2 linked regions of the Oryzias latipes genome follow. The protein of the gene in region 1 interacts with the protein of each later gene in a pairwise test. Links are inferred from orthologs where the notes say so. Each region holds a gene or a part of one and is shown in the gene's direction. Other genes may lie near its edges.

What was found.
Region 2: the proteins of prkg1 (region 1) and protein FAM124A interact in binary tests that used the Homo sapiens proteins (3 or more experiments, as listed by UniProt). The two-hybrid records come from large-scale screens. The link is inferred for Oryzias latipes from reciprocal best matches to the Homo sapiens genes PRKG1 and FAM124A.

What each region holds. Positions count from the first base shown.
Region 1 is NC_019873.2:20,153,230-20,162,153, forward strand, and holds the start of prkg1 (cGMP-dependent protein kinase 1), read left to right. Parts: upstream 1-3,091; 5' UTR 3,092-3,637; coding exon 3,638-3,942; intron 3,943-7,986; coding exon 7,987-8,153; intron 8,154-8,924. UniProt on the Homo sapiens protein: Serine/threonine protein kinase that acts as a key mediator of the nitric oxide (NO)/cGMP signaling pathway. GMP binding activates PRKG1, which phosphorylates serines and threonines on many cellular proteins.
Region 2 is NC_019879.2:5,052,898-5,061,213, forward strand, and holds part of protein FAM124A, read left to right. Parts: intron 1-3,747; coding exon 3,748-4,517; intron 4,518-8,316.

The sequences.
Region 1 (8,924 bases):
CCATCATGACAGTCCCACAGGACACAGGCTGGAGGAAGTGCTATGCATTATTGGCTTTTAGTAGCTGGATACAGAGGACCCAAAGTGCATGTCTAGGGATATTTAATACTCCATTAGAAAAGGCTTTGCTTGACCATATGCTTCTTTCATCACCTTTTCTTTGAGCTCACACCATCTCATTTTGAGTTTCAGCAGTGCTGAAGCTCACGAGAATCCATGGAAGATATTTGATATTGTACATTTTGACTTCATATTTACTTTGTTTTTTCATGTAAAAAGTTTAACATTATGTTTTTCTTTTGCAATCATAACATTTGTCATTTTTGTTATTCAGTTGAGAACTTTTTTGTGTGTGTTTTGAGAAAGATGCCCCTCCCCACTCCATTCTTGCATTCCAAATCCCAACTTCATTCTCATCTCACCTTTGACCTCACCTTCATTCACTTTCAAGGCCCTAAATGTACTCTGGACACCAAAAAGTATTTGCGTCCACATCAGGAACTGTTTTATAGCTTTCGTAAGAACTCTTGAAGATCAGAGATTAAACCAAAAAAGGTCATACCTTGGTAACAAAGACAAGTGCACTCCCACACATATGCATGTTGGTCTTTCAAGTACTTTCCAGAAACAATGCATTCCTCAGTCCACCATGATTAATCAAACCTTCACCTTAAAACTAAGTTGATACTCCTAAAAGTGTCCTACCAAAGTCAGGAGGTGGTCTTCCCAAGTACAAAAATGCACACATTTATTTGTGCTGCTTTATTTTGTGGCTAAATCACTCTAGTTCCATCCTGGTAGTTCTAGCCTGAAACTTCCCCCCCCCCCCCCCCCCCCCCCCCCCCACACACACACACACCATATTTATCAGAGGTTTTGAGGGCAGACTCTTTGGTACTCCGTCGCTTTTCAACGCGTTAGGTGATCATATCAGAAATTGTCTGACAAGGCATATGAACAAGTACACACACTGACATGTTTGCACATAAATTGTGAGGACTTTGCACAAACTTCTTCCTGGACATTTACCTTGGTTATCATGTTTGTTGCTTAACTTAAGTTTCATATATTAAAATCAAAACCTTCCCCAAAATGTCTGTGCCAATAAAGCGTTCCAGTTTCATAAAGGATGCTAATTCCATTTGGAAGACTCTAACATGATAATAAATAGAACTATAAACATTCACTCATCCAAGCAACATTACTGTCTACACAACTGCAACAAACACTGGGGTTAATTCAGTTAGGGAGACCAGAACATTTCCGATTTTAATTCGTTGTAATATGCTGCTATTTGTAAACAGAGAAAGTTCTCGTTGTTCTTATTCCTTAATGAGAAACAAAAGGCTTATGAAACAATACATCTATCCATCTATGTTTCTGACACAACATTTGAAAAGAGAGTTGTTTCACAACCATGAACAAATAAACAGCCGTAAGAAATAACAAAATTAGTGGTTTTCCCCTAAGAATGATTCAAGTGATTGTGTGGCAGCTCTCTCATTCTTTCAGAAAAAAAAACAAGTTGAAATAATACACATTGTTTAGTCTGCACAGCTGGATGCTTCTCAGAAAAAGGTTGAATGAACCCACGGGTGTGTTTGCAAGCCCAAGGTGCCAGCCATGTCTGGAGAAAGTTGTCCACTGAAGTGGGGTCAGATTCAGTGTGATCCCTTCCCATTAGAGTGGCACCAGGCGGCGGCCGGCTCGTCTTCTCAGATTACAGCCAAAAGAAGCAGCGGATTCTGTTTCTATTGATCCGCCTAGGAAACGGGCAGAGCTGCAAGGCAAGAGAGGTGAAATCTGAAGCACTGAGGAGCTTTGAAGGACAGTGGGCTGGATTTCTGAGGTATGTAGACCCTGGATGCACCTGCAGTATCCCCAAGCAAGCTTTACTGTATTTTCATCTGTTTATTTAATAGAAAAAAAAGCATTAATATCCATTTAGAGCACATGTGTCAAACTCAAGGCCCGCGGGCCAAATGTGGCCCACCATGTTATTTTATGTGGCCCGCGAGAGCGTAAAAGTTTTTTATTTCTTAAAATAAAAACTTAAAATTGGTGTGTATTTTTTCATATCTAGGGGGAATTGGATTTAAAATATTGGAATGGGCAACTATACATTAGGACATAAACACTGTCCATATAACCTAACCTGGCAGAATCAAATTTAAAAGGATTTATGCTAAAGTAACAAGCAAACATTTGTTTTCTATCTGTTATTGTCACTTTAAAAAGTTATAATAAAGAAATAAATGAGTTATTTAACATTAAGGAGAGTAGTTAGGTTTATTTTCATTACATCTGGCCCTTTGAGGAAAACCACTATGCTGATGTGGCCCTCAGTGAAAATGAGTTTAACACCCCTGATTTAGAAGATAAACACTGTTGCTTAATTATTAAATGAGTTACTTTACACACTTTTGCAGATATATGCGCCGATTTAACAAGTCTTCCTCATCTGTAACACAAAGCACGGTTTGAAATGTTTGAATATGAACCCTCAAATCTTACTGGGAAAGCAAATCCTAAAAAACACAACCTTTTCTGAAAACTCATTATTTCAGATGATCATTTTATTCTCGTCCTGTGGTTTCCTTAAATCCGCCACACGAGGGCAGCTGTGGTCTGTTAATGGACCATCTGCCTCCAATCCCAGCTGTTTGGGAGACAGTTCTTAGCATCCAGGTTTATCCAAGAAAAATCCCCACCACCCCCTCTCCTCCTGCCCACCAGCGGTACCCGATTGCTGCTGCAAGCAGCTCCCCAATTCCATCAGATCGTCCTCGTCTACATGAGTTCGGGCGCTGTGGGGTCAGATTCCCTGAGCTTCAGATGACTCACTGGGATCAAGTGGTCAGACACCAGCGGCGCGCAGAGCGCACACACAGCACCAGATTAGATGTGGAGTCATGAGCATCTTTGGCATTTTGATACGACTAAATCTGCTTGGTGGAACTATACCTTTGCTGTAATTACCACAAAAATGTGAATATTTGCCAAGCAAAGTTTAATCATCCTGATTAATTAAGCTTTCAATTATTTATATATTTTCCAAATATCTTTCACCTTTTAAAACAAGCAATCCAACCCAAAACAAACAGTGACTCATTTGTGCGCTGAGGTTCATTTCCCATCACCTTCAACTTCATTAAGGCTGCGCTCTCCTCTGCGCGCGCAGAGGCAGCCTTGGGGCGCGTCGCTGAGGTATGAGAGCCCATGTGGCTTCCTCACTGACTTCTTTCTCAATCATGTGAGACGAGCGCAGCTCTCTGTGGAGCGGCACACTGCATTGTGGCGCGGTTCCTGCAGGCGCCCTGCTCACCAAATCGCACTCGGGGAGGCGATCCCACGCTGTCACATAACTGCGCGCGCGAGGTGGAGAAAGAGAGAGAGAGAGAGAGAGAGAGGGATGAAGACGGGGACATTAAACTTTGCGTGATTGTGCCTGTGATGCTTTCACGTTCACCGTGGAAGTCCTCCGTTTCCCGTCGTTCGCTGTCAACACAGCAGCCGCGACCTCTCAGAACTGTTCATGCCGGAGAAAGTTTCCGCGCCACTCGGAAGAGGAGCGAGGGTGAAGAAGACTAGGCAGCAAAGCGCGCGCTAAACTTCTCGGAAACGTCGGCGCTAAAACATGGGCACTTTGCGCGACCTCCAGTACGCGCTCCAGGAGAAGATCGAGGAGCTGCGCCAGAGGGACGCGCTTATTGACGAGCTGGAGCTGGAGCTCGACCAGAAAGACGAACTTATCCAGAGGTTACAGAACGAACTGGACAAGTACCGATCTGTGATCAAACCGGCAACCCAACAGGTCCACAAGCAGAATGAGCTGCACGAGCAGCAGCGCACGAAGAGGCAGGCTATTTCTGCAGAACCCACTGCGTTCGACATCCAGGATCTTAGCCACGTCACCCTGCCTTTCTACCCCAAAAGCCCACAGTAGGTGTCCACCTTTCATTTGGTCAAGTATTCACATCCATTGTCGTGTTTGCGTTCGTCCTTCAACACCTGTGGGATTCTTGTGCGTTCGTGTTGCGCAGCAGGTACTTCACCTGTAGCGCAAGGAAGAGGCGCACGCGTGCACGCACACAGACGTGCGTCTACAGACTGAGAGGCAAGACTGGGAGGAAAAAGTGAAATCAAGCTTTCAAACCAATACATTAAGTAGTGAGTGTTATCAATACTGGCAGCAAGGCAAGCAAAGGCTAATTAACAGAAATCCCCCGCGACACCACGAGACAATTAAAAGTCTATTGAGGGACTACAGGGATAATTTTGGGTTTACATGAAGATTTGCCGCCTTTGAGCGTAAAATAAGTTTTACTTTCAGCAGCTGCTGGATTGTAGTTTATTCACAAGCTTCCATGGAAACAGACCACTCACTTTGATATCTGAACCTGAAGCAAAAGGCAAAAACACACAAAATAAGTTACTATGATTTTGGACATATAGATATTTCCAATCATAAAAACATTTCTAACTCATAATGAATTCTGCGTCACTTGAAGTTTGTTATTCAGCTGACAAATGCATTTAATCTGAAGACAGTCAGGTTCAAAACCCCAAAATATACTGTATGTCACAAACAACAAAATAATACTTTATTATTATAACTTTTTTCCAAATAACCTTGACGTCTCAGACTTCCTGTCAAAGCTGAGTGATCATCTCCTAATTCCCTTTTGCTCCAAGTGTTTTACATTTGTATTTTTTTTCAAAGCTCCAGCATGTGAGGGTTTGTGACTTTGGCTCTGCTGTCTGGGTCTTGTTTGATGTCAGTTGCGTTTGATTTGCTCGGCGGTCTCCTTTTTTTTGCTTCTGTCACACCTGTGTTCTGTTAGCAACCCCCCCAGCTGCTGCTGATTATTCTCCAGATTAGTCCATGCTTTCTGTTCCCCTGCCTGCTTATTTTTGTAACCGCATGTGTCATTTATGTCAAGGTAGTAGCTTTTAGCTTTAGTTCTTCAGGCTACTTCAGTAAATCAGTGAAGATTTGGCCAACTCACCCTCTGGATCTTACATTTCCAAGAAAAAAAACCAAACACAAATATCAAATGTGTTTCCTCCTTCAGAAATAGTGATGCATTCAAATTTTTTTTTGAAAAATGTACAAATACTTAGTTATAACCATGCTAATACCATTAATAGGACTATATTTCATACATTGCCTAAAAGCTAATTTAAGCATTAGACATGACAACTTTTTTGATTATCTCAGTCCCTGTATGGAGTAACATTTTGAGTCCTAATTACTCCTCTAATAGTCATAATTGTGATCCATTTATGCACTAAACAAATTACATCAGTGGTTTCTGTACCTTTAATAGTGTTTACGTTTTTTTTTCTTCTTATTTTCATTTGAGTGAAGTTGGGTTTTTTATTTTGTGTAAAGGATTTATTCAGATCCGAAAAATGTCTAAGAGAAAATAACTTTGCTTTACTGCTTAATTATGTCATTACCCTTGTGGATAAACAACCATCTTTAATACCTTTTTTATTATGTTCTGCATGTTGGAATGCAGCCATAAAGTCTGTTCCATTTCAACAAATAGTTTTTCTTTTTGCTTCCATACAGCGCCCTTAGAACGCTCTCTTTGTATCATCTCTCTTTGTTTTGTCTCATTTTTGTGAGCCTCTCCTGTTTTTCTGCCACCCCTCTCCTCTTTTTCCTCCTTAAAGTGCATATTTTCTCCTTTTAAGGAAGGCTGAACTTGCTCTGCCTAAACTTCAGTGGATGGAAGCAAATGTCTCATTCTCGTAAAGTAGGGGAAGGCAGATGTTTTTGTAAGGGTCTTGCTGGAGGAGCTTACTCAACCTTGGCAGCGATTGGAATTGAAAGGCTTCGAGCCTCCTGGGTGTAAATATAACAGAAATGGGGTCAATGAGGCACATTTCCAGAGCACTGGGGGTCAGCTTTGGTGGGGGCGGATTTTGAACTCGATTTTGTTTGGTTGATTCGACATGTTTTCTGCTGTGTAATGTGCACAAAAAGGTCTGTTGTGGAGCATCATCTTAAAAACTGTTGCTCCCCAAAAACCAAGACTCCTTTGTTAAAGTTTATTCCCACTAAGACGAATTGGATCTAATTATTTTCTTGTTGAATAAATGACATATTTGAAAATAGATGTATGAGAAAAATGTAAAGTTACACCTTCAAGTGCTAAATTAAAAAAATATATATTTTTATGCGCAGCAGCTTTAAATTGTATAAACCCCCAGAATAACTGGATGCTTGTTTCTGAACCTTTTCATCTCCAACATTTAATGGAAATGACGTGACTTGAATCTTGGATAGACAGAGACGCTCGTCCTGTCAATGCTAAAAACTGCACACTGTTCTGCTTATTTGATTTTACTGCTGCCGTGAAAGTAAAGTATGCAAAGCTGATGCTGCAGGTCACAGGACTACAAGCCTGTAAAGAAACATGGCTTTGAGTGAGCTGCTTTTCTCAGTGTGGAATCAATGATCCATCCAAATCTTGTGGGCTGTGAAAACAATCTGCTTGTTTTAGAGGATTAAATATGATGTTTTCCAAATGAAAGACGCCTCTTCTTCTTTTTATTTCACATTTCCTGTAGTGTTTCTGTTGCCTACTAAATCTATTCTCCTTCCTTCCATTCTGTTTGGAAGTCTTAATTCTTGGGTCAATAATGGGAAGTTCTTCATTAACTTAGCTCTTATTCACAAATTGCAAAATCATGAGTTTTAAAAAAAATGATTTGTAGCATTCTTGATTTAACCCAAACTAAACGGGGGAAAAAAAAATATTAGAGCGCTGGAGTCCTTTAGATGCCGGTGATATTTATAACTGGTATTTACGCACCATGTACCAGATGTGGTGGCTGCTCCCTGTCGTATGCTGCCATCTCCTTGGTTTATTCTCAATACAGCCACGCTGTCTCTTTCCAGAAGTGGTTTTGTGACTCACAATCAAACCGAGACGCGGATTCGTGTGACCTTAAAAGTTCAACACGAGCAGAAGTGAGATTATAAAGCACCCGGTCATAAACACTCTGAAAAGGAGTTTGTTTTAAAGCAGACGCGGAGCTCGGCGCTGGAGTCTAAATAATTCTGGGCACCCCGATTCTGTTGCCTGACATTGTTTGTGCAGATATGCAGACCCTGCTGTTGGCATGCAGCTTGTGAAGACCTTTCCATAAATACCTTCCAGGTTGTTTACTCTTTGAGACTAAGGCTTGCCAAGGCATAGGAACTCACTGAAAAATGCAAGACATGCCTCACCACCAATAGTTGGAATTTGGGGTTTGTGGGTATTTTCTGTTACTGGTATGGGTTAATACTGGCACATCAACTTCATTCATTGAGCTGACACGTTGTCAAATCTAACCAAGCTTTTTAGACTGAAGAGTTGACGAACTGTTCTTCAGTCAGTCCGTCCGTCAGTCAAAAATCTATTTGATCTTTATCGTCTCTGATCATTTCTCTACATTTGAGATGATCAGACTCGCATGTGTTTTTGGGTCAACACATGTACACCTTTTAAACTCCCAGTGATGCACTTTTTACTACAAATTTCAAGAAAACCCTTCTGCCATAATATTATCTAACATTGCCAGCTTGTTGTTTCTGCGTGACAAAGCAATATCGCTGAAATGCACATTAGTTATAAAGTTCATTTTCTGTCTTTCCTGCTGGATGACTGAAGTGAACACACAACTATAGAAAAGCCTGAATGACTTTGCTGTCTGAAGGAGAAATTGGCTTTCAGAGGTGCCCCCTGAATGGCAACAATCTGCTTCCTTTAGGCCTGTATTTTCTTATTCACCAACTTCTTTCAGCAACTGAAGGGAAGGAAAAAGGCTTCACCTTGAGGTGTTCAAAAGGAGGACATGTTTTTTTTTTTCATGTATTAATTCCTAATGTTCCTGTTCTCTTTCATTCAAACTTCTATAATTGCCAACAAGTTTTACATTTTTTCATCCTAAATGAGAACAATTTGCATTGGTTTACTCTTTCTCCAGGTCCAAAGACCTGATCAAGGAGGCCATCTTGGATAATGACTTCATGAAGAACCTGGAGTTGTCACAGATTCAGGAGATCGTGGACTGCATGTACCCTGTGGAGTATGGAAAGGACAGCTGTATCATAAAGGAAGGCGATGTGGGCTCATTGGTGTACGTCATGGAAGGTAAAAAGCACACAGCATGAGGAGACTCAGATCATTACAAACAATCACCACTAAGAACACCAAATCGAAAAAAAAAAAAGTGGTCTCTAGCATCTTGCGGACTCCATGTCTCTTCAAAGGGACCAGCACGGAAATCACAGATGTCAAATTAAAGGGCATTATTGATAAGATTCTGCGGGAAGATGGATGCTTTTTGAAGCTATATGATCCAACCATGTCATACAGATTTTTACAGTTTTCTGTCAACTGCAGGTTTCATTTCTCATAAGCAGTTTTTCTCCAGCCTGCTGTTTCCTTTCCCTTTTTTTGAATAAAGAGTATGAAAGCTCTGCTTACAATACCAGCAGCACAATGTCCTTTCTGGGACTGATAGAATGTATGAAAAGACAGTTTTGCTGGTTGGTCTGCGACAAGGGCCTTTGCACTAAAGAATTCATTGAGCAATAGCCCCTGCCAATAGATTTGACCTCAGTGAAAATGGCCTCAATCAATGTCTGGGCGATGTAATTGATTGTAATGTGGGAGGGAACGTGGATATTCTCAGACATGCTCACAGTCTTGGCTGCAGAACCACTCCACTTTGTATTTTTCCTTTTCAAAAATACTATTTAGGAGAAAAAACAGTGATTTTGTAACTCAAAAGAAAGCCAAAAATGATCAGTTTTTGTTTATTTTACTTATATATATTTCTTCTGTTACTCCCCCCTGTTTGTTATTGCAAATTTGCACTCACAGTTTAGAAATTCATTGGAAATGATTGTAAATTTGGGA
Region 2 (8,316 bases), on another chromosome or scaffold:
GAGTTGCCACTTCAGGCAGCCCTAAAAAAATAAATAAAGGCAAAGTTAGTTAAGAATGGCTTGAAACAAAGAAATTCCAAACTTTTAACCTAAGACGTTTTAAAGTCATCTTTTGATCGCGTTTTAAAAGTGTTCCCAGTGGTCTATTAATTATGATTGTTATTTTTGGACAAAACCCAAAAACCTGTTGTTTTCTAGGACATAGTTTCTGCAGAGCGGAAGGAGTTCATTAGGAGTTGTGGGGGGGACACCTGGAGCGGGGCAAGCCCAACCCCCACTTCCCATCACAAATCTGTTAACAGGGTGTCCTGCTATCTTACAGCTTCTCACACCCCCAATTTACTATTACCAGTGCAACAAAAATGGCAAACAATAATAGAGCTATCCAGATGTACAGTTTTGGGCCAGATGTCAACTAAAAAGAGGAAAATAAAGACGTCCATGGATCTTGTCGTCTACAAATGGCTCCATCAGAATGGTACCGGAGCAGGGTGCTTGTGGCACACCCTGCATATTTTTGACATCTCAAATACGCTCTTTTTCCAACACACTATTTTCTGCTCCTGATTCAAAAAGATTTGAATAAAAAAATACTCAGAAATGCAAATTCCTCCATTATGAGAAAAATGACACAAGAACGTGTCAAAAACACCAAAAACACACTTTTCATCAAAGCTGGTCTGCATTTGTTTAAATATTGAATTGACCAGCTGTCACTGGATAGCTTTCAGCGTTCGAAATAAGCGATTATCCTGTTGTCCGAGACAACCAGATTTCACGCAGGACAACCAAAAATGAACCTGATGGTTGTCCGTGTGACAAACTGGTCTTTTATTGAACATTTTGGTATTTTTCAACTATTTTTCAAAGTTTTTGGGAATCCAACGTCCGACTTTTTAGGATAAAACCGAGTGTACATGAACAATGTCACGTGACTTCCGAACGAACAGAGTACGCCCGAAGACGTGAGCGGCATCAGCCTCAGCAGACTGAGTCGGACATTGATGATGATGACATATCCCTTGAGGAACTTGTCTGAAATTTCTTGTCAAAAATGACAACATTGCACCTGCATGTCTTGCTTAAAAGATCGGGGATATTAGTCTTTACTGCTACTGCAGCGCACAATGTAAACATGGTATCATTTACACATGTGTTTATTTGAAATAGATGTTTTATCATATTATAACTTTTCACTACATATAAATATTACTTTATATTTAGAATGCTGTACTAGTCCCAGTCCATACAAGTGTTCTAAATTTTAAAAATACCCATTAGGTTACAGTGTTGGTTAATCTAATCAATTTTCTTATATATTATAGGGTAAGATAAAGTATTTTCATTTGACCGTGACAGTATTTGATTTACATGGCAATACTTTGTGTAACCAGATGCTTCAATATTTAGTAAAATGTTTGTTTTTAATATTTTTAGTTTTTTAAATGTCCATCATAAGAGCCAGTTGATATTAGATGTATAGAAGAAATACAGATATAAGTACTGACATCTTAGTAGGTTTTGTTGCTGTTGAATATTGGTATCGAAGGACAACCAAAAAATGGGGGAGGACAACCAAATACAACCATTTTTTCCCCCTTATTTCTGACGCTGGCTTTGATACAAATACATAAGAAAAACGCCCAAAACAAGAGCAATGAGAATTTCAGAAGGTCTGTGGCTTTAATTTTAACCCTATTCTTGAGTTCGTTTTTAGATCAGGTAACAATAAACGTGGATCGGCAAGTAGATGACGTGAAAAAGTGGGGAATCAAATGTGTAAGCACTAATAAAACCCAACAAAATAGGGTGGAGGAGCTCAGAAAGAGGCAGCGTTTTTCCCGGTGAGACATTATTGAGACAACACGGACAAAGGTCTCCTGTCCTGGTGGGCCTGTTTCGTGTCAGACGATTTGTGCGGAGAAGCTGTTAGTGCAAAAAGGTCAAGCTGTGTGAGTGATAGCTCAATGTGCTGCACTGTAAACACCCTTAATAAAACCCCTTCATCTTTTTGTTTGGTGTCTGTCAGGTAGATGTGCCCTGATTCCAATGAAATGGGGCAGATGTTAATCAGCGGGTTTCTCTAAGCAGGTGTCTGTAAAGCTTGGAGTATTGAGGCGACGAAATCTAAAACTCTTTTGAGATACATCTCTTGCCAAGTGGTTCCAAAAAAAATCTGTTAGATGAGAATTTTGGTTCAGATTTTAGTCTGTTGCCAAACGACTTTCCTCATTTTTTTGTTTGTCACAGGGTTGAATAAAAACTTGACATCAGCACAGATCTGTCAGTTGTTTGAATCCATGTTTTAAACTAAGATTTTATTGGCTATAAAATACTGGATGGGCTGACCAGGCACAGAAGCACACTGGAACAGAAACCAGGAACAAGGATCAACAAAGATAAGATCTCATGTTGAACAAAAAGCTAGTAAGAATATATGCTTGGAGGAAGACGGCTAACACAAAGCATGTGTGGAAATTGGCAAAAAGAAAATCAAGAATGAAAGAAAGCAGGAAGCAAATAAAAATAATAAACCCGAAAATGAAATATTTTCAAAATAAAATCGGAAAACGAACCATAAAGATTTCAAAAACGGAAACTGAGATTCCAAAACACAACAAATTTCAAACAAACATTTGTTGTGGTATGACAGGTTGTAATAAACTATTTTTGTTGATTAAAGTTAATCGTTTTGAGTTGATTATTGATCTGAAAACTAATTTTAAAAGTAAAATAGTAAACATGATACATTTTAAAGAGGAGCGCTCTGTGACACCACTTTCATTCATAAAACCCATCAAATCAGATACAATTTTCTCCAAGATAAATCTAGGTGCATATAAAAAGTAAAAGTTGCGATAATTGTATGTATTAATGATATGCCAGGTGTGCAGCATCTGTTTTTCAATACTGGTTTCATTGTAACATTAGCTTAACAGTTTGGAAATGTCACTTCTTTGTCCTAGCAGAAAAGACTAATGGGATTCATGAAACTGGTCCAATCCCCATCTGGCCTCTCTTTTTGGGATTTTGGCAACAGTCAAACACTCTGCTATACTTGGGACAAGAAGACTGTGTATCTGCTCTCAAAGCAGCAACTAAACGGGACAGTTCCCCTGAGAAATCAGATAAAGACTGCAGGAATATTTCTTCAAAAGGCAGGCCCTGAGCTTACATGGAGATAAGAGCAGATCGAGTATGCCAGGACATACATCCTCGAAACACAACATGTATGTTGCCTGGAAGCAGGCCAGCTCCTGAGCTTTACCAGGTCAGAAGTTCAGGGACACGCTTCACCTGAATGCATCTCTGCTGTTGTGGTCTGGGAGGCTGCTGCTCTGGGCTGCAGTAATGACTTTTAATGGCACTAATGAGCTTCCACAAAGAAGTAGACTCACAAAGGCCTGGTAGATTGAAGGGGAGGTAAACATTGACAATGAAAAATGGAGTTGGATATAGATAAGTGAAACAGAGACAGCTGGAACAAAGACGAGGACAGAAAATGTATAAGATAAACTGTTGGTAATTGTAAGATAGAGAAAACAGACAGATCTAGGATTCCTGTCAAAAAGGCATATAGTAAATGTTTTATCTGGATTACTATCTTTAAAAAGACCTTCAGGCTTTTTTTTTTACCAAGCTATTCCTTACTGCTGTGTTTTTACTGGATTCTAATCAAACCTTTTGCGATGCTCAGTGGCAGACCGTTTTAACATCTTTCTTGTTTTTATTTTTTTCTATCAACTGGTGGAGGCGAGTTATCCATGGGTGAGCTCCAGGACCCGTTCCTCGTCAGCATTCACCTCATTGCCGACCCCGGTCAAGGCAAGTTTCTGCAGCGGGCTGCTGATGCCGTGCTGTCGTGGGTTCACCCCGAGCTGCAGCTCTTCAGAGTTTCCGAACGGGCCTCTCCTTCCCAGCGGCCGCGGCAGAAGCCCCATCAGAGCGGCCCGTCTGCAGCCTATCAGCCAGCCATGGCGGTCATCCTCTTCCTCCAAGAGGCCTACGGCGGTGAAGAGCACATACTGATGCTGCACCACACTTTGCAGAGGCCACCTTGGCGTTACCACCACACTGAAAAGGTCAGCAATGGCCGCCAAATGCTGCCACTGACCCCTTGCAGTCAGGACTTTTTCACTCTTGCTCCAGGAACACCACTCTGGGCTGTGAGGCAGGTTCACTACGGCAAGGAAATCGTGAGGTTTACAATTTACTGTCTTCATGAAAACTACATGGACATGGTTCGGCTCTACAAGCTCCTGCTTCAGCGACGGGTGGCGCAGAAGAAGGAGGACTTCTGCTTCTTTGTGGTGTACTCCAACCCTGACATGGAAATCCAGCTGTCATTCAAGAGGCTCCCCCGAGGCCACAGTCCTGTGGTGCTGGAGTCAGCTGTGATGGAGGTGAGGGTACGGGACGTTGGGGAACTGGTGCCCCTGCTGCCACACCCCTGCAGCCCCATCAGTGAGGTCCGCTGGCAGACCGAAGACTATGATGGAAACAAGATCCTGTTGCAGGTATGTCTTCTGTTCTACCTATTCAAAATAACTAGTTTCCGTAAAAGAAAAGAAAAAAAACTACTTGACACTATACCTCCCAAAACATGAACTTGGAAATAGGTATTTGCTGAATTTTATTCCTTTTTTTGTCATTTAAATAAGTGTTTTCTATTAAGTTTTATTGCAGAGCATGGTGGTTACCATTCGGCAGGACAACCACTGCTTTGTGTGCCATGTTAGGGAAATGTGAGAGTAGAGGAAAGATTTAAGAATTTGACATTCAACAGATATTTCAGCAGTACTTATTTTTTATTATTTTAAAAGACCCGCATTCTCAAAACTCCACCCGTCATAATGAAAGTTAATGGAGCTTTCCTGAAGAGAACGTGGCTGTGTCCTGCTGGTTTCACTAAGTGCTGCTGGAATGCTTCAGCGTGAAAGAGCACACCCTCCTGTATGGAAACAGGCTCGCACAAAACGGCCGTTGTTGGAGGAGTATCTGTTTCAGAGGGGATGTGTGTCCGGGCGCTAGGAGATAAGTAGTTTGGAAAGTTCAAGCCGATTAGGCTGCAGTCCATTACTGGGATTGGAGAAACACTGAGAGAAACAATAAACTAATCTATCATGACAATGGACCATATGCATGATGCTTCAGTGCCACCTGGTTTAAAATGCTGTGCTCCCACCATGAATTCACTACAAAAGTTACAGCCAACATGTGATCACATAAGGCCACTGATTTACAGAAAATTTTCTGCTGAATCAATGAATTTATGTTTGTTAGATGGTAAAATAAAGCGAAAGAATTCCTAAGCATGAAGAAGGAAAGCATAGGATTGAAAACACAGCCTGCTAAATAAGAGGACTATGCTCTGTAGTACAAGTTCAAATTAGATGGAAAATAACATTATTATTTTTATTTGCAGCAGGGGTGCTCATTACGTTGATTGCGAAAGATTTGACGGTAGATCACGGGCCATCAAAGATAAATACAAAAAGAAGTACAAATATACTAATAGAAAAAAACAGCCAATCAAACATCCTCTGTTTGATTGGATTGGATTTAAAACTATTTATTTTTAGCGCCATAACAGATTTTGGGCCCATTTATGTTTTAGACGGTTTCTCCCGCTGTGATGTCATCACTCGGGAGAAGTGGTCTTTCCCTATGCCAAAAAAACGTTTTCACCCGGTACTAGGTGCATGCAAATTGTAGTGAGTTTGTTGCTAGGGAAAAATGTTTGCGTAAAGGTGCAGTAAGAAAAAAGAATTGTGAAAACAGTATGGTCTTTGCAGTCCAGCGAAACACAATTTAAGTACTATAAATAACTTTCTTCAATATCTATACCAGTTTTATCATCACTAAAGGAAAACTTTAAAGTCAGGGAGATATGCAGAGGATGTTATGAAAGAAGATGCTTTGCCATCCTTCCATTTTCTAAACCTGCTTACTCCCATTCGGAGTTGTGGGGTTGCTGGAGCCTATCCAGCTGTTTTTGAGGAACAATTTGGAATCACTTATTTACCTATAAAACATTTATTTGGACTGTGGAGGACGCTGGGTTGCCTGGAGAAAACCTCCACATAATCTAAGAGAACATTTACTCAGAAGGCACCCAGCTGGGATTTGAGCCAGGGCCTATTTCCCGAGAGGCAAGGGCGCTAACCACTACACCATCAACCTTACAGTTCTTGAACTTAGTATGTTAAGTTTTGTTGAAGACAAATTTCTGATGTAGCAACAAGATGTAAAAGCTGCTGGAATCAACACAGCTGTACTAGAAAAAAGGCTGCAAACACAAAAAGAAAGGCCTATACACTGAAAAGAAACAAAAAGTTTAAACATGTTACGGTTTCCCTAAATAAAGAAATGCATGGACTGGAAATTAGGAAAATGTTGTGATGTAAAATATAAAGATATGTACGCATCAAAAATTGATCTAGTACTTAGAGTAGGGGTGTCAAACTCATTTGGTTCGGGGGCCACATTCAATCCGTCTGATCCCAAGTGGGCCGGACCAGTAAAAGCAAAATAACAGCATTGTTTTTGTTTTTGTACTCAATTGGAATACATGCCTCAACCAACATGGTAGCCTAATCATTTATTATTACACATTCATTCACAGAGGCCAATGGATCTTAAATAAAATTAATTTCACTTAAAAAAAAAGGTCTATTCAATTTTATGCAGACTGAATATTTTACATCTGACACTGAAGCAATCACAATAATAAACTTAAGAGGGGCTACTGAAAAAAATGAAACACCTGCCTAAAATTTAAATGTCCAAACCATTAAATAATTATGCTAAATTAAACTTGCAAACATTTGTGAACATAAGAGTTTGGAGTTAACCTCTCTCTCTCTCCTGAAACTTCACCCGGCCATCACGATCAGGATTCAAATCCTGTGCAGCAACACATTTACTGTCATTCAACTGACTTAGAGTAACAGCAGTAGCGGTTGAAAACCACAGATACACAGGGGTGGACTTAGCATTAGGCAAAGGTTGAGGATCGACTGGGGTCCCCAATTATCTAGGGGCCCCGAGCTGAACATTTAATAAAAATGTCTAAAATCAATTTCACGTCCATCATTATGTCACTCCCCCCAAAAAAACCCAAATCACTGAACTGACATAAGATTTTTCAGGTAAAAGAGTTTGGTCCTCCCCCGTCCTCCTGTAGCAATGGTATCTCAGTCAGACAACTCATGCAGTAAAGATTTATTTCCATGTTTCTATAAGTTTGGCATAAGGCTCCTTTCAGATACATACAACAAAGATCTCCATAGAAAACATTGGGTAATAACTACCCCTAACGGAGCTCACAGGTGGAAGCCGGGGAGGAGGGTGGGGTGATGAACGCAGAGCTCGCAGAAATGGAAGAAGAGGGGTTGGAGTGCACCTGGAACTTAAGTAGGACGCTAAACAGGTGAGTTGATTAGACTGAACTGCCCGTGGGAAGGAGTAACCAGGTAAACGCACTGCTTGAGTTGCCTGCCTGAAATACTCCCAGGGTCGTTCATATTCCAGTCAACAGTGAGTCCAGAGATTCTCAAGTCAACAAGCAGAGGCAGTATTGCCATACTGGGTGGTTTTCAGCTAAACAAGGCGGTTTTTATTCTGACTTTGGAGGCAAAAATTGCTTTGGGTGGATGGACATAATTTGGGCGGGTTTGGGAGTTTTTAGGTCCTGCTTGAAACACATTTCAAGCACTGATGTGCGGTCTGGGGAGAGGCAGGTCCGGAGGACGGCCGGGAGGCCGAGCGGACCGGCGAGGCAGGTCCGGAGGACGGCCGGGAGGCCGAGCGGTCCGGCGAGGCAGGTCCGGTGTGGAGTCCTCCGAGGCGTCAGGCTCGGAGTCAGGCTCGGAGTCAGGCTCGGAGTCAGGCTCGGAGTCAGGCTCGGGGTCGGGCCAGCAGTCGAGCTCTGGCGGGTCGGGCCAGCAGTCGAGCTCTGGCGGGTCGGGCCAGCAGTCGAGCTCTGGCGGGTCGGGCCAGCAGTCGAGCTCTGGCGGGTCGGGCCAGCAGTCGAGCTCTGGCGGGTCGGGCGTGGAGCCGAGCTCTGGCAGGTCAGGCGTGGAGCCGAGCTCTGGCGGGTCAGGCGTGGAGCCGAGCTCTGGCGGGTCAGGCGTGGAGCCGAGCTCTGGCGGGTCAGGCGTGGAGCCGAGCTCTGGCGGGTCAGGCGTGGAGCCGAGCTCTGGCGGGTCAGGCGTGGCATTGGAAGCGGGAACCGGTCGGGGTTCAGCCAGCACCCCCCTGGGAGCAGGGACCGGTCGGGGTGTAACCCGCACCCCCCTGGGAGCAGGGAACGGT